2 linked regions of the Lepisosteus oculatus genome follow. The protein of the gene in region 1 interacts with the protein of each later gene in a pairwise test. Links are inferred from orthologs where the notes say so. Each region holds a gene or a part of one and is shown in the gene's direction. Other genes may lie near its edges.

The links.
Region 2: the proteins of homer1b (region 1) and specifically androgen-regulated gene protein interact in binary tests that used the Homo sapiens proteins (3 or more experiments, as listed by UniProt). The link is inferred for Lepisosteus oculatus from reciprocal best matches to the Homo sapiens genes HOMER1 and C1orf116.

The regions. Positions count from the first base shown.
Region 1 is NC_090698.1:41,963,567-41,976,073, forward strand, and holds the start of homer1b (homer protein homolog 1b), read left to right. Parts: upstream 1-6,269; 5' UTR 6,270-7,417; coding exon 7,418-7,422; intron 7,423-12,507. UniProt on the Homo sapiens protein: Postsynaptic density scaffolding protein. Binds and cross-links cytoplasmic regions of GRM1, GRM5, ITPR1, DNM3, RYR1, RYR2, SHANK1 and SHANK3.
Region 2 is NC_090700.1:33,675,470-33,687,095, reverse strand, and holds the start of specifically androgen-regulated gene protein, read left to right. Parts: upstream 1-5,973; 5' UTR 5,974-7,553; intron 7,554-9,742; exon of another isoform or gene 9,743-9,988; intron 9,989-11,626. Other genes in the region: yod1 (ubiquitin thioesterase OTU1), read left to right, coding at 1-412. UniProt on the Homo sapiens protein: Putative androgen-specific receptor.

The DNA.
Region 1 (12,507 bases):
TATGCTACACTGCAACGAGTCACTGCAAGATATTTCTCTTTCGCCTTGTGCCAAATGTAAATGGCAGCATCACAGGACAGTATTTCAGATTTACAATGTGAAAATGTTAAATTAGTTTGGTGCCTGGCTAAGCAGACAGGGGTCCTAAAAATCTGAAAGCCCAGACAGACCTTAAAGGAATGAACCTGCATGATCTTGTACGGACTCTGAGGTTAGTTGACCTCTGATCTGGACTTTCTGACATATGTGCCCTAATGGCTTTGTGGATGCTGTATGCTGCTGTATCTGTATCATTTGAAAAGTGTCAGTTTTCTTAAGAAGGTTAGAATCCCTAATTATTCCCCTGTATGAAATCCATCCATCTATCCATTTTCTTACCACTTTATCCAATTCAGGGAGCCTATCCCAGCAAGCAACTGGCACAAGGTGGGATACACCCTGGATGGGACACCAGTCCATCACAGGATACATAAAATTACGCACACACCCATACCAGGTATGGTTTTCCTAGAAGCCAACTAACCTACCAGCATATCTTTGGATAGTGGGAGGAAATCGGAGCACCTGGCAAAAACCCACAAAAAACATGAAAGGGAACATACAAATTCCACACACATAGCACTCCAGGTGCAGAATTTAACCCATGTCTCCAGTACCATGAGGCCATGATGTGTCATCACGTGTCACTGTACCACCATGCTATCCATGTGTCTTCATTATACCATATGAGCTGGGACAATTTGTCTAATATTGTGTGTTCAATTCTTTACACTTGTTTTGTATAGAAAAATCTGGACTCTAGAACACCTTCTGCATAGTACATTTACTTAGTCACCCACAGTATTAACATATCCTTGTCTAAACTATCAAACTATTTTTTGATTGGAGACAAAATTTTCAATTTGTTTGAAAGATTAAGAGAAGTATTAAAGTAATAAGAATCAATTAAAATTGATTAAATTGAAAAAAGTGTAGAAAAACCTAATTTATAAAGAAATTATGTTTCCATGATTGTATAAGTACAAAATGTATTTATTCAATATAAAAAGCTCTTCTCTTTCAGTAGCAATGTAATGCAACTGTAATGCCACTACAAAGAGGTGGTGATTTTTTCAACAGCCCACATCATTTTCTAACTCCTTGACTATTTACTCACAAGAACACTTGGGGCTGTATCTTAACAGAACAGGAATACCTACTACAATTGCATGGCTCTGTTGCTCATTTACACCCAGTGTAATGACCTAACAGTAGCTCAATAACAAACTTGTGAAATAAACACCTACTGTACCTCAGCAGGAACATCATAGTTTGAGCAGTACCTACAGTACTATGGGATTTCCTCAAGATTAGGTCACGTTTTAGGTCAGGGATCTGTGCCTTCTGTTAAAGATTCTCTGTACTGATTCTGAATATCAACATGCCTGTTGGATTTAAACATATTAAAGGTTGCCCTTTATCATTTCTCAAAGGCAACATACAAGTTTCAATATATCCCATTTAATCAGTATGTTAAATTGTTTGATTGGTAATTAAATTATTATATCGGCTACACCCAAGACGTAGGCTAGAGGGATTTTTAGGCTGATTGTTGATTTTCTTATGTCTAATCATTTGTATTTTGATTTGTGCAATAATAAAGATTATATAAACTTATTTTCAAAGAATTGTTAAGGTGTGAACATTGAAAAAATAATTTAACATAAAACATAATAAGAATTTCAAAAAAATATAATACTCTGTACTAAAGTATAATGCTCTCTACATACTTTATACAGTATGAATCTTTGAATTTTTCTACCATAAGTGCTATGAATATATTTAAAATGAGCTTGTAGCTAGCTTAAACTTTTGGTGCACATTAAACAGGTTCTGTTTATCTTCTGCTTTTAACAATTTAGTCTACCAAGAGACATGTACTTACTGTAGCTACAGTATGCTAATACACTACAATACATTAAGTGATTCTATCAGCCATGCATTCCCTTTTAATAGAGGCATAAAATATTACATTGCCTTTGAAAAGTGTCTGAACCTTGCCACTGTGCTTTCATTCCATGATTCATTTGATTTTTTCCCAACATGTTTTATAAGATCATACACAAGATAACTACTGTAAGCATTTTTTTGTTTTTATTAACGGACACATTCCACAATGAATCTGTTACACAGCTCTATTAATTTAATTGTATATAATGGTGTACAAAGAGTTTATACATCAGGTGAAGAAAATGTCCAGGGTTTTCTGTAGTCTTCTTTTTCTTGATAACCTGACTTCAGTTGTTGATCTTGGACATTGCAGGAAAAATTAATGAATGAAAGCACATTTAATGTACACGCTGTATCTAGCTTTCCTGTTCACTGGTTTTAAAATGGGACTTGCTGTTCTTGCAAGATAAAACACTTCCATTTTGAATCCCTAGTTCTGCACTGTACTGTTGGGCTGTCATTGCTCCCTGTCACACATATTTTATATAATGTATACATACTGTAAATACAGTATTCAGTGTGTTTAGCATAATCTATTAGGTTTGTGTTCAAGATATACAGTAATGTAATGATATGCTGATGCATGCTGATACAGCTAACATGCTGCTACAAAATATAACATATTTGAAAAATACATTTTTCAAATATATACAATATATATGTTATTTTAACCCTAAGAATTTTGGATTCTTCCAAAAACAATTTATGTTTATTATAAGCCTCTTCCTTGTGTATAAAACAATTAAATAATAGTTAAAACAGTATATCTTTGTGTAAAATTAAATTGACTAATATTACATTTTTCTTCTTCGTTCATGGGCTAACCACTGTTCATGATTTTAAACACTCACTAGTGTATTACAAGAAACCTGTGAAATCCCCTACTGCTGTCATCAATTAAAGCACATACTTCCAAAAATATACCACTTGACTAACAAATACTGTATGAAATGTCGAGTTTCACAACCAATGTGACACAGCAGAAAATGTGTCATGTAGTTGGAACATTCTTGGCAAAAGTCTAAACTATTGTATGTCATCAGGGAAGGTGAACAGGATTTCCATGGGTACCAAACCAGATTAAGTCAGGATTGCTGGGGTTATAGACACCTTTGTTACCTCTGATTTGTCATCACTCAACTGCAAGATCCTTCCAATTGATTCTAATTCTGCTGCATACTGCACATTGTGTACTATTTTAGGAATGGATAGCTGCACATCAGTACACCTTCTGAAGGAAGGCGTGCAAGATCTTTATCCTTCCCTTGGCTAGTATGAGGGTTTTAGCCAAGTTTACTAGGGGGTAGTTGAAAAAGAAATTCGGGAGAACCTTAAAAGTGCAACTAGATTTAGCCATACCTACTCTTAACACATAAAGTCCAAAAATAACTGTTAAAGTTACATCCCATTCGTACAAACATTGTATGGATCTTCAGAGTTGTAAGAATCCTTTGGCATACACATCAATGAAAAAAGATAATAGAAACCTTTACCAAAAAACAAACAAACATGGACTAGATCCATTGAGACAAAATATAGTTGAAACTATATTGAATATGAAACTATAAAGTTTTTTGGTATGATTTGGTCACATGTCATACTGTACTTGCAGTCAAGTGATCCCGGAAGTGGTAATTCCCTGGAAAACAGATCTTTATACTCTTTACTAGCACTCTACAGTATTCCATTAATATCTTCCATTTTAGACAGAAATGAGCAAGACAGCAAAACCTAAATCGAGACAAAGGTGATCAAATACAAATACATTACAGTGCAGACTCAAACCTCAACAAAGCCTGCATACATGTCATTAAACTTACCAATGCTCTAATTAAGTCTAAATATTTAGATTTATCCAAAGTACATTTGCTTCATTTTGTCATTTTTGTTTCTACTGCAGCTTTCACAGACTAAATAAAGTTTATTGTAAAACAAAAATATTTTCTTTTTCGCAATGCATTCACATTAGCTGTTTATCTAAACATTTTCAATTTTTTTTGCAGGGGACATTAAGTGGGTTTATTTGTCTGAATACTATGATGGCAAGATTTTCATGTATTAAATACAGATTAATCATAGAGTAGATGAAGGCTGAATACATTTTATTTGAATCTAATAAACAAACACTGTTTATTCATATAGATTTGATCTTTGGTAAATACCAAATACCAATATCCATACATGGCTTAAAAAAGTTATTTCTGATAGTTCTGATTGTTTCCATTAAGTCTTTGATAACACAATTACACAGATCTAACTCTTCTAAGACTTCTGCCTTGAATGTTAATCACCAGCACTACAGCTAGACAAAAATAAAGATCAGCTCATGTAAGAAACTGCTCTTGTTGAAGGACTTTAAAAGGTAATAGGAGTGTTATATTCCCTGTTGCTGATATTACAAAACACAAATGTGAGGTTAAACAACATGAATGACATTGAGTTGTACTACCCTTGTAAGGTACACATAAACAAAGGGAGCTGTTATCAAGTACAATTACTACTTATGGTAAAAACAAGTTTTGAGCTGCCCATCTAGCGATAGAAACTACTGAAAGTCCATGCTGTTTTTCCTACCTTCATTTTACTAGTACACATTCTAGTTATACTGTTTGACGAGCAGGTAGAGTGGAATGGAGTTGGTTGGGGGAACATCTGTTGGCAAAGCACACTTCTTTTCAATAAGCAGGTAAATCTTAATATTAAATATTATTTTTATAAAAATAAAAATATTATTTTTATTTTATTTGTATTAATACATATGTAATGCCCTAAGTTAAATGTAGGAGTAAATTGTTCTATAGACAATTGTTTTATAGGTATAATTATACATATTTTTATTTTTTTTCAAAAGTTTTATGTTACACAATACAAAAAAATTTTTGAAGGGTATACTTAATGAATATTTGGTTTCATGTCTGCACAACATTAGATCTGCTGTTCATCCATCTTGATTTTTCTACCTTGATCTTATGCTTATAACAGTTATTTTCAATTTTATTTTAGAATTGTCTCAGGACACATGCTTCTGTGCTAACTATAAGAAACGTAAATCTGGAAAAAAAAATGAAGTACATTTCTACCTTAATTCAGTCCATTGAAACAACATTTAAGAAGATGCAGCAAACGTCTTCACACCAATGAAAACAACAGTATTTGTGTCTCAAGTGTGTTCATGCACATATTTCTGTATTTGTTTTACACTTCTTTGAGGTTGACTTTAGTAATATTTATTAAGTATTGTGGATATTGTTTGACAGGTGGCACAGTGCCGCAGTAGGTAGCAGCACTGGGGCCCTGGATTCAGTTCCTGGGGTTCTATCTGAGTGGAGTTTGTATGTTCTCCCCAGATCTGTGTGGGTTTCCTCCTACAGTTCAAAGACAGGCTGGTAGATTAACTCGCTTCTGGGTAAATCTGGCCCTGGTGTGTGTCTGTGTGTGCCCTGCAATGGCCTGGTATCCTGCCCAGGGTGTATTCTGCCTGGTCCTTGTTTGTTGAGATAGGCTCTAGCTTCCCTGTGACCCTGTGCTGGACAAAGTGGTGAGTAATTGGAGAATGAGGTACTCAAGATTTTAATTTTTCCTGCTTTTCCTACCTTGAAGCAAATCCATGGATTTAAATGAGTCAATTGAAACATTCACTCTCACCCCTTCTGGTTCTAACCGGTTTGGTGGCAAAAATGGTAATATCACCATTCTTTTACATATGGGAAAATTACAGAAATTGCACTATTGTAAAAAAAAAGTAATAGATTATGTGTCATTGTAATGCCCCTGAATGTTTTGAAATTTTATTTAAATTTGATATTTTCTGTGTCCTTGTTATTATAAGTTCAGACAACTGCCTTTCTATTGTATATGCTGTCAACCAAATATTAATAGAAAGGATTTCACTTATATAAAAGGTGTATTACATTTCACAAACTCTGTTCAGTTTCTTTAAAATACTGAGGAAAATTTGTATTTTTTTCTCATTAATTCCATCTATATATAAATTACAGACAAAACGTCTTAGATTTTTTTTGTATAGCTAATCTGCATTTCTAACATCATAACACCTACATACAATGTTTTAATTTTAGAAGTTTGACCAAACCTGAACTACCGTACCGGGGTGAGAGAAATTGCCTTCTTTCCCTTTATAGTAACGCTTCCTGGAGTAATTGGACGTCATCCCCTTGACTGAAATGACGTCAGTCCCAAGAGCATGCAGTGACGTCAGTGCGGAGGGTTGCGTGGTGACGTAGACCTATTTAATACTGTCAGTGAGCGGAGGATGGAGACAGAGATGTTGACTGGGATTGGAGAGATGGAAAGCTGTGTTATAGACTCTAAATAACGAGGAGGATGGAATAGCAACAAAAAAAAATTGTAGCCCATGGTTAAAAACCTAAAACCTTTTATCCTCAATTATACCTCTGAATAGGCTTTCCACTCCTTTTTTGTACACAACCATTATCAGTGATGTACATTTCTGTGATTCTGTGAATATACAGAGGATGATGGAGCTATAAGAATGCACCAGGTTTCCTAACGGAAAAAAAGCTATGAAAAAAGCTGCCTTGGACAGTGCACTGGCGTCTTTTATCCTTTTTTGTACTGGTTTGATTTCTGATTTATCTCTTCCTTTCCGTGTGCCCATGTGACAGTGCGTTTTAATTTGCTCTGGAGGAATTTTGATGGCACAGAAGAGATAAGGAAACTGCAATACGAATGAATGGGGAATGGCAAAATAGTAACTCAATGCTGGAATGAAGGTTAAGCTTTTTTCTTGCCTGAGGATACAGCTTTCTGCGGTTTAGCCAGCTCCGTTCTGAAGAGGTGTCGGTTTTGGAAAGTAAATACCAGAGGGCGTTATGAAAGAACACGGAGTAGTAATACCCTGGCTTTCAGACCGAGTGGATATTTAAGGGTCATTCGGAGACCAGAGAAAGCAGCACTGCTGATAGCCCTCAGTGTACCTTTCTAACGAATGCAAGCTCTTCCCATTCATTTTAGTAAGAAAGGGAAGGAAAAGGATACTGTAGGTGGATTGCATACGCATTCGGGATTTTGTTAATCATGTACCTTGTTTCGAAGTAGCTATATCGCTATATGTTTTTTGGAATGCATAATTCTTAATGAAACCTGGGAATGCTAATTCGTGCAAGAAAAAAACATAGTTACCTTTGACGGAATGTGTATTCGTAAACGTGTATACATTTCTGTGGATCTGTTTTGAAATCAGTCAGCTTTAGACCGACGATCATAAAGGACTATATTGAAACAGTCATGTCTTGCTGAAGGAGCTGAATCTCAACAACCTCACCACACCACCCCCATCAAATCTCATCCACGGCGGCGTTATAATAGAAAATACAGTACTAACCATAGAGCAGAGGAATCTTTCATTTGCACTGACTGGATCATTTCAATCATCCAATCAACCAAAATGGGGTAAGTTATACGGCAATATGTATATTTGGTGAAATACTGTACTGTGTGTATTTTGGTCTCATAATATGAAATACAGTATACTGGTATCTTTTTTCATGGCCCCAAGTAAAGCTATGTAATGAAAGACTAGATGGTATAAATCTTTAGCATTACCTATATTCCTTATAACATAGTGCAGTTGAGCTGTCTCACAATGTTACTTACTCTAGGTCGTTTGTGATATACAGTAAGTGCATTGTATTATAGTCGCAGATAGTAGCTTATACCCAAAATCTGGTGGAGTGAGCCATGACTTTGGCCATGTTATTCCATTTGGAACTTCGTGAACTGTTTCTGAGTGAAGCAATTCTGTAACTTAAACCTACAACAATATAAGGGTAATTTACCACAGATTTAAATTTGGTTGGATACCATCCCACTAATGTAATGCTTTTGTACAGAAGGTTCACTGTTATGATTATTTCTTATTCATGAATTTGAATTAAACATTTCCCGTTTCGAAGAATGGGTTTAGAAGTGCATGTGTTACACAAGACACCCATGACGTTTACTCTGTTTATGTGATAGAAATAACATTGGAAATCGTTTATTTTTATGAAAGTGTTCCGTAGCAGATATCGTTCATTAGAACCACTTGCATGTTTTTTTAACAGCAATGAGTCACATTAAGTAAATTAAGCTCATACAGAACTTCCCGTATTTCACCATAAATCGGGGTGGAGAGAAGTTTGAAAATCTAATTAATGGTTAAAAATGTATGTCTTCTTAAGCCTTAGCATCCAATAACCTCTCAAGATTTACTTCATTTCCCGAAGACTTATCATAAAATAATTATTATTATTACGATTTACTCAATTACTGGCTTATGAGGAAGAAATTTGAAAAATATTAAAGTTTAATTTCCTTTGTTTTTATGAAACGTGATACACAATGTTTACAGTCACTTCTGTTTTTCCTGTAATTTTATTGTTTTACGTTACGTTTGGATTTTAGAATGAAAATTAATCGCATTTTATACATTCAGGTGACTTAAAATGTGGACTGTTTTCCTAGAATATATTTTAAAACTTGGATTTTAGGACAGAAGTAAGAGAATAATTTGCCTGATAAAAAAAAATGAGTGAGCAAGTTAGAGTTCCGAGGCAAACAGTAAGAGCTCGATGATAGTGAAAGGAATTTAAAAGTGGACTGCTATAAATTAACCTTTCAAAAAGTGCAGCTAGATAATGATTATTTAAAAATACCACAGGAAGCCAGAATCTGATTTCCAGTTATCTTGAGATATATCTATTTAATATTTTAAAATTTTAGTTTTCGAAATTATTTTTTCTTAAACGTCACCATGAGGTAAAGAGAATGTTAAACGTGTAAAAAACGTGTAAAAGTTTTGGGGTAGAGGTTTTGCAACGAGTGGAGACGTTCTGTCTCCTTAAAACGCGTTAATACTTAAAAGACGCAACTGTCATCGGACCTTTTTCTGTATTTTCCACAAAACTAAAAAATACAGTATAAAGAAAGTTCAACATTTCTCAGAAGTGTGTTCAAGCTTGTTATCTTCGTGGAATACAACGTCTGCCTAATCAGCTTCTTCGCAGATCAAATTAGCTTGATGAGCTGAAGTACAAAGTGCTTTAAGGACATATATTTCAGAAAAAGCATACCAAATCACAAATCGTCGTTTAGCTTTTGACTTTTGACACAAAGCAATCTTTCTTCAGCCTCTCAGAGGCTCCTTGACGAACATATGCACAGTTATTGGAGCTTGACAGTTCTGATTTACATTTGTCAGTACGAATCTTGTTCCACTGCTCTGGAAACAATGAGGCATGATCTTTTGAAGGAGAAAATCACTTTGATATATTGCTCTTTTTGCACAGTATGGCTTTCTTGGTCCCTTCCTAAAGAACAGATTTTAAAAATAGAACATGTTCAAGGTCACAAGATCCATTGATGGACAGGTTTGGATTTTAACATGATAATAGTCCAACTGCACAGTCAGAATTCACTTACTGTACAAGAGTCAAGTAGTACAACAGGTTTTGAAAACGATACACCTGCTTCCCCAGTCAGTTGACCTTATCACATTTAAGGAAAACATCATGGTAGGTTGAGCTTGACAAAAAGGTAATAGAAAAAAAGTAGAACCAGCATTAACAAGCTGAAGGAAATTGTTAGGGCAGAATAAACAAAAATAAAGAGTGAACTGTTGCTAATGTACTGTGTGATGGGAAAGAGATTGTGCAGCTGTGATTGAGGAAGGATAATTCTGATGAGACATGTTTGTGGAAAACACATCAACTGTTCAATTTTATTTTGATATGGGCAATACAGTTTTATCTTGTTTATTCCAGTTCTTTTTCAGATTCTACCTTTGAGATACGGTACTGTACTGTTTTCAGTACAGTTCCCAAATGGGCCCATGATTTGTCTTCACAAGTGGTAATTGGTGTGTGTGTGTAATGCAGTATATTTATTTTTTTAAATATGTATAAGAAAGTATCCTGGAGGTTCTATTGTGAAGTTAGAAAAACATTCGTGTACATGGGTGGTTGGGCAGTGACACGAAACAGTGTCAGTCTTATCTGAATATCTTCTGAAGTTTTGTTTGTACAGTATGTGGACTGCTGATGCATCACACTTACATTAGGAATCAAAGCAGTGTATATTGTCACTGTACACATTACTTGGTATTCTCTTTTTTGTAATGAGGGATTGCATTTGGATTAGTAATTCCAGGCCTTGTAAATTTGTCTCAACCCATACCATTTCTCATGATGGAATTATAAAACCTCACTAACACTCCTACTCATATACATAGTCATTGGCTATGTTTAAGCTACATGCTGTTAAAGCAGTACAGTAGTGGGTGACTACAATAAGCTAAAGGTATTCAAAAGCCACATAGAGGATTTTGTGGAGATTCAAATATATTGCAGTGTAATTAATAATGTAGGAAAGGATAGGAATAACTGGTGCTGTGGAGTTGTTTTTAAAACTCGTGTTGACTGGATACTGTTCAGTTGTCATGCTCTTTGCTACTTTAAAACTGCTCCTTTGGACTGTTTTTTTTATTAATGTGGGACAGGTAAAAACCATAATTTCATCAAAAAGTAATACAGCATTTGTGCATAATCTGTAATATAACCTGTACATAAAGTCGTGTTGATTTCTGTTTGTTTGGTCATTTTATTTCTTATCAGCGGTTGGTCTTCATGAATGTTAATTTCTCAACAGATTCCTGATTGCTTTTTGGCATGTTGTAGGGATCTGTGCAGTGGTTTTCTGTATTATTATCTTTCTATATTTGGGCAAAGAATTAAGTATTATGGGAGAAGGATTCAGCTTTCTGTTGAGTGTACTGTAGATTTATTAATGACTTCTTTGTACCTTCCATTATCACAAACAATCCTTCTGATATAAAGCTTTCAATGAAGCAGAACCTCTAATGAAGTCAGTTTTTATGCACGAGTTAACAACAAACACCTACCAAATGTTGTTTATTTTTACCCTTTACTACTAAATTAGGAAATTTGTTATGTTTGATATTACATGTGTAATCATGGCTGGCATTGTTACTCATGAAATGGTAACCATGCTATGCCAGTAGCTACTGTACAGTATATTACCCTGCAGCTCACAGCTGGCAACTGAAGCTAGGCTGGTCAGTACCAGAATGGGAGAGCTCCTGGGAAAAACTAAGGTTGCTTCTGGAAGAGGTGTCAGTGGGGCCAGTATGGGGCACTTATACTGCAGCCTGTGTGGGTCCTAATGCCCTAGTATAGTGACGGGGACACTATACTGTAAAATGGTGCCGTCCTTCGGATGAGACATAAAAGAGACTTTCTGTGGTCTTTAAAAACCCAGGGCATTTCTCGAAAAGAGTAGGGGTGTTACCCTGGTGTCCTGGCCAAATTTCCCATTGGCCCTTACCGATCACATAAATCCCCATTTATGTATTGGCTTTATTACTCTGTTCTCCTCCTCACTAACAGCTGATGTGTGGTGAGAGTACTGCTGCACTATGACTGCCGTCGCATCATCCAGATGGGGCTGCACATTGGTGGTGGTGGAAGGGAGTCCTTATTACTTGTCAAGCACTTTGTGTGGAGCTTCCAGAAAAGCGGTATATAAGTGTAAGCAATTATTATTATTATCAACCACACTAATAGTGGTTAGCATTGCGGCCTCACTGCACTTCAGGTTCAATTCCAGACCTGGGGTTGCTGTCTGCATGGAATTTGTGTGTTTTTCCATGTTTGCTAGGTGCTCTGGTTTCCTCCCACAGTTCAAAGACGTACAGGTATGTTAATTGGCTGCTGGGAAAACTGGTCCTGGTGTGAGTGTGTGCATGTCTGTGCCTGTGTGTGTGATGGACTGGCGTCCTGTTCAGGGTGTACTTACACCTTGTACCTGTTGCTTGCCAGGATAGGCTCCGTGAGCCTGGATTGGATGAAATGGTTAGAAAATGGGTGGATGGTCTCAAAGCTTTCCAAACTTTCAGCTTCCCTACTGATAAACTGTCATGCAGGGCCTTTGAGTGTGGTTCTTCCATTCTTTCCGGGACAGTCCAAAATCTTGGCATCTGTAATTGAACTCTTTATTGGGCTGATCAAAGGATGCTTCTCAAATTTGGAATGATGATACATACCATACCATTGTGAAAAACAAAATTCCCAGCACATAATATTCTGAGTTAATGTACTGTACTGTATGTGTTTTTGGGTAATAGAAGAGTGTTAAATCAAGGCTTAAACATTCTTGTTACAAGCATACCTTTCCAATATGTTTTTTACACATCTAAACTGTTCTTGTGTTTGTTCCTCTCTGTGTTTCTATTACTGTTCATACTATGCACGTGTAACTTTTATTTTCTGATGTTGTAGGAACAATATGATTACTTTTTAGTTGGGCTTGGATCAATGCATTTATTGATAGGCAATTGGAGAGAGCACTGAGCATACAATATATTTGGATACAGTATGTGAACTTTTCTGATTCAGTGACATTTTTGCTCTGCCTGCATGTCTGGGTCAGGCTCCTCGGTAGTTCAAAAGCTTGCTATTTCCAAGATTTATCAAGTGTCAC
Region 2 (11,626 bases), on another chromosome or scaffold:
GATCAGGAGGGATGACACCTGGGGCGGCGCCATCGAGGTGTCCATCCTATCCAAGTTCTACAAGTGCGAGATCTGTGTGGTGGACACGCAGACAGTGCGGGTGGACCGTTTCGGGGAGGACGCCGGCTACAACAGGAGGGTCTTGCTCATTTACGACGGGATCCACTACGACCCCCTCCAGAAGGAAATCTCCGGCTCGGACACGCCACCCCAGACCATCTTCTCCACGGCGGACGACATTATCCTGGCCCAGGCTCTGGAGCTGGCGGACGAGGCGAGGAGGAAGCGGCAGTTCACCGACGTCAACCGCTTCTCGCTGCGGTGCATGGTGTGTCAGACCGGCCTGGTGGGACAGGCAGAGGCTCGGGAGCATGCCAAGGAAACGGGACATACCAACTTCGGGGAGGTGTGAGTCACGCTTGCTCGCGCGCTCTCCCTGTCCCCGAGGTGCATTCTTCTACCTCACTACCCTAGCATAGTTCTTGGGTCCTTGTGGACATACTGTACCAAGATCCGTTAGTCCAGTAGTCAGTGTTACATTCAACTAAAGTGAACTAAGCTAAAAACCAACATGGCTGCTTTGCTAGGGCTTGAATCTAGTTGATTTTGTTTTTTTCAGGTCACGGTTATTATTGTATGTGCTGCAGATCATATTATCCTGCTTGCGTAACAAGGTGCATCTGTTGCTAAGCCCACAAGACTTTGATATTGAAACCAAAATCCTGAGGTGAGACATGTGCCTCTAGTCTCTTATTCCTACAAAAGTGCAATAGCACCACTGCAGCACCCTTTTTGGTTTCATCCTATTTTTCATGAAGATTTAGTTTTCCGTTTTAAAGGACCCTCTTGTTATCTATCTGGTGTATGGCCGTTTAAATTTTGAAACTTGAGGCTTTGGCGCTGAACAGTTGAACAGCGTGTTTTATTTAAAAAAAGGATGTTAACCCCAGGCATTTGAAAACAATGTCAGAATTGTATTTTTTGACTTTGTGCCTCAGTACCTGGGCATTATAACTAAGTATTAGATCAAACATTTATGAAACACATCAGCTTATATAGGGAAGATTGCAGTTCTGAAAAATATCATAGTATTAAATATTGTTCCATCTGCTCACTCAGAAGCTTAAACTTTTCTGTTTTAATGTTAGAATTATAGAGAATTTGCCATGCATCAAAACTGCCAAAATGAATGTGTCTGAAACTATCAAAACACTTAAAAAATCTGCAGAGTACGATTTCCTTTGCAGTAAGAGTTTCCTTCTTGAAATGTATGGTTTATTTAAAGTGAGAGCATTTAACTGAGTTCTTTCTCTTACAGACTGAGTTCTATATTTAACTACTTTTGCAACTAAATCCTATTATAGGTCATGATATCATGCAGGAAAGGCAATTTATAACATTAAAAGTGGCCTTGAAGTATTAATTTTGCCCATTAAATTACCAACAACTTTATTCTTTCAGGAGACAGGAGAGTCGACTCCTAATTCTAGAGGGCTGGAGAATTTGCAAGGTTTCTATGTCCTTATAAAAAGAGCTGAGCAGTTGTTATGTTGGTTCAATTAAGCTAATATAATAGCAAACTTATTTACATTAAGGGCTGTGTCTGAAACCTTGCACATATGCCACTCCACGAACCATTTCTGAATTTCAAAAATAAGCATACATTATGACATATAACCTGTTGCTTATATAAAACCCATTTTTCCCTTTTTATTGAATTGTACAGTTTTAGGCAGATAATGTAAGAATGCTTATCACATTACCATTGCGATTTTGAAGACAAAGCTGCATGGGTTTTCTTATCTGCTACTGAAAGAGTTTCAGATTTTAGGTAGACAAGCATGCAATATACAGCATTGTGTTTGGATTTGGTGCTATTAAAAATCTTAGTTTAGAAATCTACAGTTGTGGCTTATTCAACAAAGCATTAAAATAGTTGGATTTTCTATGAACTAAGAGGAGTGATAGATGTAGAGTTTCTGTGCTTCTTGACATGTTAAAAGTTTACATACATAGATGATGCTCTGAAACAGAGTTGGGTACTGTATATGAGCTTTTCCTTATGCAGAGTTCTCAAAGTCTTTCACTGAACATTTTGCACTGTAATTAGAAAATACAGAGAGAAATTAAAGACTCTCGATGAACATTGAGCCAGTGAGCCATGTGTAGGTTACCCATATTCAGACACTTGAATATAAACTGATCTGTGTTGACTGCCAGAAGGCACAAATGTCGTTCAAAAGAGGGCAGGAGAACGTATGGTTAGGTTTTTCATTTGTCATTGTTACTGTGGTGTATCTTAGTAACTGTAGCCAGAGATCTGATTAGATCCAATTGCATTGTCTCCCATAGAAAAATAATTGGGGGAGGGGAGTTAAATACCAGAAACATTGCATTTGGTATTTTATGAGATCGACTGACGGGATGATAACTTTTTCTATTGCATTCAAGGCACTGAGTCGGCTTAATTCTTCTGTGCTTATATTTCAGGGATACACCATCTCCAAAATTATATATGATTTTAAATCTCTAATTTTGTTACAGGGCCTCCTGACCTGTATTGAACTTTTTATTGTTATGGAACTGTGTGGTCAGATTTTAATCTTACGGATCCCCTTCAGGTCTAAAATAAAACTTTTAAAAGATGTAGCACTACTTTTAAATTTCTTAAGAATGCTAATGACTAGGTTTCACTGAAAATGTCTTGGGATGTGTTCTCATTTATTTTAAAAAATGTGATGGGAGTAGTTAGTATTTTCTATTTTTATATATACTCTCACTCATGGCTGGAAGTTTCAAGTAGTACATTTAATTACCTTTAATTGACCAGATTTAGAATTTCTTAACTATGCTATGAAAACAAATGTGTTTGTGGCGCATGTGACTGAACCACGGTGTTCATTGGGTATTTTAAAACACAATAGTTACTACTGTTAAGTATGAATATTATAAAGTACTTAACTCGCACAAGCTTTTGGTTTTCATCTGCAAAGAGTGATGTGGAGAATGAAAATGTAAAGAAATGAATTTCTGCATTACGTATTTTTATTATTGTTTCTTTGTCTTCAACAATGCAGAATATAAAGCAAGATCGTGCAGTACGTTGAGAAATTTAATGTTAGCAGTACTTGGAGCTTTTCACCAGGAATGCCACTGTATGTGTTGGTGTAATCTAAACCTCTGTCAAAACTGAAACATGGCTTTAAAACGTTGTTCTCTATTCACAGTAACTCCACATGCATGGATACGCAAGCCTATGAACCCATTACATTTACTCACAGCTTCTGAATGTTGCACATCAAGCACTATAGAGAAACACTACTGGTTTTACCTGATTTTTCGTTATTGTGTTTCTTTGAATTTAATAGAACATGTTGAGATTGATTCTGTATGTTTAATGAGTTCTTGTATGTTTAATGGTATCTGGCTTGGGGGTCTGGTAGTGATGCAGGAGAGCCAAACACACCTGCTCTAAGGGGATTTAATTAAGTTGTAAATGCAGCAGTTATGTTTGGCATTGCACTCAATTAAAAATAATTTATTTTGACTTGCTATTGCTTGTGAAAATAGCTCTTATTTCTGATCGCATGATATTGTTCACCTTGTATGCCAACAGAAAACAAGCTGCCCCCTTGAATTTCTGGAAAGAACTGTAGGATCCATCTGAGCTGTGTCAAGTGCCTATGTTTTAACCTAGTACTAGGGTAACCAAATGTAAGAATTCATTCAATCTAGCAGAATCTCTGGCACTGTATTACACACAAACCCATCTGCGACTCTCTGCATTGATCCGAAACAATCCTGTTTTCTCTTGTTCCAGACTCCCATCTCCTTTTTTGAGGCTCAAATTGGACTCATGAAGATAGAATATAAATGTACATATTAGTAATTAAAAGAAGTACATGGGTATCCCTTTTTTTTTCTTGTGTTAAGGCTACTTAAAGCCATTGTTTACAACACAAAAAAAATACAGAATACAGCTGAATGTTAAATGTTGAAGCAGTTTACCAGAGCAAAAAATAAGTCTTATAATTGCGTTAATTTTATTTGTTGCCATCGCAATTTATTCCAGATGCATTTGAAGTTATTTGTGAGTTCGTGTCAAAATGCTGATTTTTGTTACTTGGTATGTCAGCCACTGTCTTTTGACTCTATTTTAACAATGTTTGCACCACCTATGACAAAAGTGAGGTTACACACTGCAGTGTTATTTTATAATGCTGGATATAGGCATAGTACCTTTTGGAAGCAAAATAAAAATAAATAGAAAAAAATAAACTCTTTCTACTTTTGTCTGTTTCTAAATTGGCTTTCTGTAATGTGATTAGCTTGCATGACCAAATTCTCAGGTCTGTGTTTGCATTATAAATATATTTCTAATTCATTGTGCAGGGCAGTTTTGCATGTTACCATTGTAAAGATTTAAAAGTATGAGGATCAGAGGATCAGATCAAAAGTAAGATCCTATGGAATAGCTGACATGGATCAAGCATATACAGTAATGTGGTGTAGTTATGCCTAGCACCCTATTCTTCACAGCTAGGCTCTGGGCAGATGCTTCCCTTCCTAGGAATAAGAAGCTTTCTTACAATGGATAACGGACACTGTATATGAATGTATAGTGTATTGAATGAAGCGTTTACAGGCAACTCAGTTCCTTGAAGGAAAGCTTCATACAAGTTTTTAGGTACTTTCCAACCAGAATCTAGTTGACATGGGTTAACATTTTACCAAATAATTTCATTTACGTATTTACGTATCTGCGCTAGAATGAAAATTCAAAGGCATCAGGTTCTCGAGGACTGCCAATGATGACTTTCACCTAAGATGAACACGAGGAATTTCCAATGTAATCCATTCATCCATCCATTTTCTAATGCCAGTACATCGCAGGACACGCACAGGCATTCATACCAGGGCCAGTTTTCCCACAAGCCAATTAACCTACAGTACCAGTATGACTTTGGACTGTTGGTGGAAACTAGAGCACCCTGAGACAACTCACACAGATGTGCTGAAAACAAACTCCATGCAGATAGCTCCCCAAGTACAGGAGTTAAGGCCAGAGTTACGAGGCAACAATGCTAACCACTGTACAACTGTGCCACCTTTTCAATGTTATAATAATATCAAAATCAACAGTTAATGTCTTTAATTCATCTGCTCTGAGACACCTGGTCAGTCGTCCAACAAATAACCTGTTTTAAGTGATATGACCCTTTATTTGTGGACGTTACAAAGGTTGGGCTGGTCTTTGAGGAGGAAAGAGTATTTTTGTGTATAATCAGAGTTTGCAATGCACATTTTCTCTTCCTGCCTTTGGTTCCAGGTGGAAACTGCCCACGTCGAGCCCCGTCATTCACATGTTTCACTGCATTCTACATACATAACTGCAGATATCTGGAGTCTTTTTAACAGAGGACACCCACAAATCACACAATTCAAATTCATGCAGGTTTTTCAAGTTAGCTCCAGCCAAAGGCAGACTGAAGTAACCACTAAATAAATAAAAAAAACTACAGCTAAAAGTAGGTGGGGGTAAGAGCAAGACTAAAAATGCCTAATACTTATTAAGTATTAAAAACAATAATATGGCACATAGAAATACGTAAATATGTTCCCAAATATAAAACATTGTTTATAGTTTTAAAAATATTTAAAATATTTTTTTTTTCGAGCAGGTCAGTTTGTCTTTGTAATTACAGTAGGTTGTGTTTTGATTCTGCAGAAGGTTTTTGGTAACAGGTTACTCACGTGAATAATTGAATGTCCATTTTTGACAAAAACAAGTGCTGTGTCCTAAGGATTTATAATATGGGTTTGTTATGGCGGTGTGCTGTTCACAAGGGGATTTCCAAAACAAAAAAGTAATTGATTTTGGAATAATTGAAGGTACAGTCTTATAGAATTTTAATCATTATCACTTTAAAACACTTTTTCATTACTTTTAATATTAATGGGCACTACGCATCTTTAAATGCCCAAAAGTCTTTATAAATCCATAATTGCTGGTCATTTAACTATAAAAGCTCTGCCTCATCATGCGATCACACAGGACTTATAAATGGGTATGACCTAATCTTGAGTCATTGCGCATCTTGGTTTCTTTGTTAATGAAATGTATATATATAGGTTTTTTACGAGCACCATCTGTGCCTAGTTTAATAATGCTCAATACTGAACAACCCTGAAAATGACAGAAGCCTATTAGTGTCACAGAGAAGTCAGTGGCGTATGGAGAATATCCATGAAATTGAAATAAATGAATGCTTCTCAGGCATTTTCCACACGGAGATGTCACAGGCTGTTCAACCTAACCCCCCTAATAAATTGTTGTGCATTTAAGCATTAAGTAATGTAGATAGTTCACATATTCTGAAATGCTTACATCACACAATCTTCATAAAAATATTCTGAAATAGAATATGAGATTATGAGATAGATCTCATAATGGCCTTGTAGCTCTGATAAAGATGCCATTTACAGATATTGACTACAATGAATACAGAACTTCCTTTGTAAATTGACAGAACACTGACAAATGTACTGTACAAATTTGTTTCCACTTATAAAGTCTTGATTTAAATGATTTGCCAAGTTTTATTTTCTATGCAAGCCTATTAACACTACAGAGACAAAACAGGGTTCAGTACACTTCAGTTCCAATGTATACTATATGGTCTGATACTCGTCTTTCTACAAGATACAGTAAAATACTGTAGATACTGTACATACCGTGTGATGATCTGAGTGTGTGGATAGTTCCGTCTCTAAAGCTGGTCTATATTCAGTGGATAGGGCATATGTTACACCTCAGATTCTTCTGTACCACAGCACCACAGCACCACAGCACAGATCTATGGAAGCTAATAATGACCTGTGTAATGTATTCCAAAGATTTAAATGGGATTATGTCATTACCAATTTACTTGGATTAGACTAAAAGTTATTTTGACTAATCTTTTACCTTTATACAGGATTTGAAGAAGGTGTGGATGTTGAATAATTTTTGCTTTCATGTAGACGCACACAATGAGGAGTTGAAACACATTCTCTGGTTTAAAGTAAAGCCTTACGTGTGTTTGGAAAAGGACCTCTCTTCCCAAAACCTTCACCCTCTGAAACATAGGAGATTTGCCTGGTCTGCCCTTTTTTTCTTTGCTCTTGCTCATTGTGCTGATTGTGCAAAAGTTTTTGTCTTTGTACCAATATCCATGAAATTGAAATAAATGAAAAATTTGCAGTCATTCTCCACACAGAGATGTCACGGACTGCTCAGCCTAACCCTCCTAAAAAGTACTAGTGGCATCATCCTCGGTGGAGAAGTGTTCTCCATTTAGCCTGACCTGAAAGGATCAGTGGTATTCCAAGGGTGACTTGGATCTGGGCTGTGGTGTTAAACACAAAAACAAAATGGAATTATTTTAATTGCAAGGTTTTTCTTATTTTTTTTCCTCAGGAAATTCAATGTTGCAGTTCTGGATTGCTAAAAAGTCCGTTTGCAGGCCAGATATTGTCTTCTAACTTGTGTACAACAGACCAATCAATGTATGGTAGGTACCATGTATGATGGTTGATATATGAGAGTCTTGTCGTTACAGATCTCTACTTGTAGTGATTAATGGTAACATGACTGCTCTGCATTGATCAAGTCCTGCGGCCATACTTGCAGCCTTATTCTGATATAACAGCATTCCAGCAGGGCAACATAAATAGATGCAAGTAATAGGTTTATTCCTTGCTGAAAAGAGAATAAAGAAAACGCAATGTTTCAGCCGTGCAGTCTTCTTCACGCTCCACAGCAGAAACGTTGTGTTTTCTTTCTATTCTTTTCAGCAAGGAATAAACCTATTACTTGTTCCTTTGCAGCCTACGCATGCTGACGCAGCTACCCACCTGAACATAAATAGATGTTTGTGTCTTCTAAGTCGTTATCTATTCTTTAACTTTAAAGCGAAACTATGGAAAAACAAAGACGTGACCACACTGGACATTCTCTGACTAGTGTTATTTTAAATGTTATATTTAAATACCTATTTATGCATTATTAACTTCTGTAAGTGTTTGCTATGCTGGCTCTGAAATGCCTTGTTTGTAAATATGTACATAGAGTAACTTGTGATTTGTATGCTTTGTTGTGGGTAGTGTAGTTTGTCTTGTCATCATCATCAATATTTTTTTTTAACCAAGCATGACTAGATTATTACTCCTGTCACCAAAGCGGTGCCAAAGAATAAAGAATTCACGTGCCTCTAATTATATCAACTGGCCAGGTGTATTCTGAAGAAATCACTTACATGTTGGGGGTTATGAAGTCAAATCCTGATTTTCACCAGTTTCGTAACCCCCCATTTGCCAGTACATTTGGGTGGGAGCCAGGGCTTATCCTGGCAAGCAATGGGAACAAGGTGGGATACATCCTGGATGGAATGCCAGTCTATCGCAAGGCACACACTGACAAAGACAAGCACACACTTACACCAGGGGCAAGTTTCCCAGAAGCCAGTTAACCTACTAGTATGTTTATAGACTGTGGGACTAAATGAGAGAGCACCCATGGGAAACCCATGGAAGTTGGAAAACATACAAACTCCACACATATACACACCTGGAACTGAGCCTAAGGCCACAGTGCTTTGAGGTAGCAACGCTAACCACTGCACCATAACCCTATAATTGAATTACAATTTTTAATAAGAAGGACAATAACAACATAACACAAAGCCTCATGAGTAAGTGAATCGCAAGAGCAGTGCTTTCTCTCTATCACAGAGCAGACAAGAATACTACTTCTGCTTTTATTTTGCTACTTTACACCCAGTAAGATTATATACTACACTATATATATATACACTGTATAGACTACAGGGATAGGACATGATGCATTGCTCCCTTGTCAACGGTGTCTAAGTGTAGTGCCATAGGGCTGTAAAACAGCAAGCACAGACAGCCGTTTCTCGCCTTGAATTTCCGTCAAACTTGCACTGCATTGCACATCTCACCAAACCTTTAGTGTTATATACACGTGGTGTACGTTCTGAATCTCTCTGTTTTTGAGGAAGAATGTGTTCCAGGGAAGCCGTTGAAGTGCTTTATTGGTACTTTGATAAGACCAGTTTAGCAAGGTGTCGAATATTCCCGTATTGATCATATGCATCTACAGTTTCCTGTTGTTGACAGGGTATGGATTGCTGTAATATGTGAGAGGATACATGCAGTACAGTATCGTTACCTTGTTGCTGTGAGACACCTCCTTCTTTTATACAAAGCACTAGAATCGACGCCGTGGAACCTGTAACGATACGAAACTAATTCACCAGGGACTAATCTCATTTACAGTTATAGCACTGCAAGAACTATACCGCAGTGCCATCAGCTTCTTCGCCTGATAGTTAGTGCTGTCTCAATATTACGTCATGTGCTTGACCTTTTCTACAACAGTACAACAGTTTTCTACAACTGTACTATTACAATAACAACGTCAAACATCATAATCAAAAACAACAACAACAACAACAACAACAATAATAATAATAATAATAATAATAATAATAATTAATAATAATAATACTCGTAATTACAATAGTTGATTTAATCTGTTTATTTCTTATAATTGTAAATGCAAACTATAAATATATAAATATTCATTGTAAAGAGACACTTTGAACTTTCTCCCTAAGCAAATACATAAAACCAACAAAGACGCGAACACTAATTACGCGAAGTAATTGGATCGCTTTGGGCGTGTTGTCTAAGCGGGTTTCATTTTAAAGCCAGTTTGTCATTGGCTGCACCTGCGGGAATGGGCGGCCTCACCGTGTTCTGATTGGCGCCGGAGACTCGGGACAGGAGCAGACTGACTGAAGTCGGGAGATTATTGCCTCACCTGTGCAGTAATAGAGTCAGCGGCCAGAGGTTGCTTGCGAGGGCGCAACTTTGTGGAATACATAAATAGCTTTAAAGGGTCTTGATTATCCTTCGTATAAAGGTAAGTCGATTTTTGTCGTGTTCTTCATCAGGACCATAAACGATGTTCACGATGCAGCTGTGAAACGTATATGGACCTCATACAAAAGGAAATCAACTGCACATTTCTCTCTGTTGGGGTAGATAATATTGTTAGCATTTCATTTTCAGTGTGCGTACGTACTGTAGGTGTCTCGATGTATTTAAGACTTCGTGAAGACTGTGTCAAGTAAAACTTACAAACATTTTTGAAAAATTTATGTATTCGTCATTTTAAGCATCAATCTTAACGTGAACAATGCATTTTATTCTGCTGTACTAATTAAACACTTTATGTAATGTATCTCTGAAAGATATTCACTTTTGTAAACTGATCAGACTTTTATCAATCTTAACACTGCATTGAGCTCGATTAGCACACAGATCCATACTGGTGTTGCAAACAGTGATCAGTTTTTACGCTACTAGAATGTCAGTTGCGCATAAATATAAAAACACCTCACACAAAACCCACGCACCACACTCATAAATACAAAAATCTGAAGAAGGCTCCACAGGAGAAACGCTGTTTCCTTTCTTCTCTTTTCAGCACAGAATAAACCCTTACTTGTTTCTTAATATAAAAACTAATTGCGTGTTATAATATACTGTACGGTACGCTTCAGACATTTTTCTTCATGAATAATAACACGATTAGACAAATTCCGCAAACGGATGTGCTTGTCACGTTCGCTTTCTTGTAGGGTGGTCATTTATTTTCAAAACTGTAATTTGTAATTTTGTTAAAAAATGGCATCCCTAAAACTCAACATTTAATGATTGACTACACCCACCTTCTATGATGAGTCCAGTGGAAAGCCGGTTTCCCGTATTTTTTTCTTCTTGGTCCCATGCTGGGCAAATATTGGCTCAGGGCTATTAAGTACACACAAAGTTATGAAAGTCCTAACAGCATGCAGTACGTCGTGTGGTAGGAGTTTAATATCAAATACTAAACGTACTTTAGAGAATTAAAGCCTTTTTACATCACGGTAAAGAAAAACATACAGTAGTTTGTTCCTAGAGAGACTTACCACCATGTAGCCTGATCTGTGAAATCTCAGAAAATTAGCAAGGTTGGGCTTGGTCATTACTAGGATGGGAGACCTCCGAGAAAAAACAGTTTGCTGCTGTTAGTGGACCACTGGGTGGCACTTGTACTTCTGGACCATCCATTTTCTAACTGCTTCTTCCAATTCAGGGTTGTGGGGGAGCCGGAGTCTATCTCGGCAAGAAATGTGTACAGAGCTGGGTACACCCTGAATGAGACACCAGTCCATCACAGGGAAGACACACAGACACACACGCCAGGGCCAATTTTCCCAGAAGCCAATTAACCTACCAGTATATCTTTGGAATGTGGGAAGCCCAAGGAAACATGGGGAGAACATACAGAAAGCACCCCAGATTGGTAATTGAACTCAGGGCCCCAGCCACTATGCCACAAAGTCACCACACCTCTGGATCACAGTTTCCCAACCAGTGTGGTGATGGGGAACACTGCTGGAGGTGCAGTGCTACAGTAAATCAAAGAATACTTGGTGGTTGTGAATTCCTTGACAATAAGTAAGAGTGGGACTGTTTACCCCAGGGCCCTTGGTATACAGTATGTTGCTTGGGG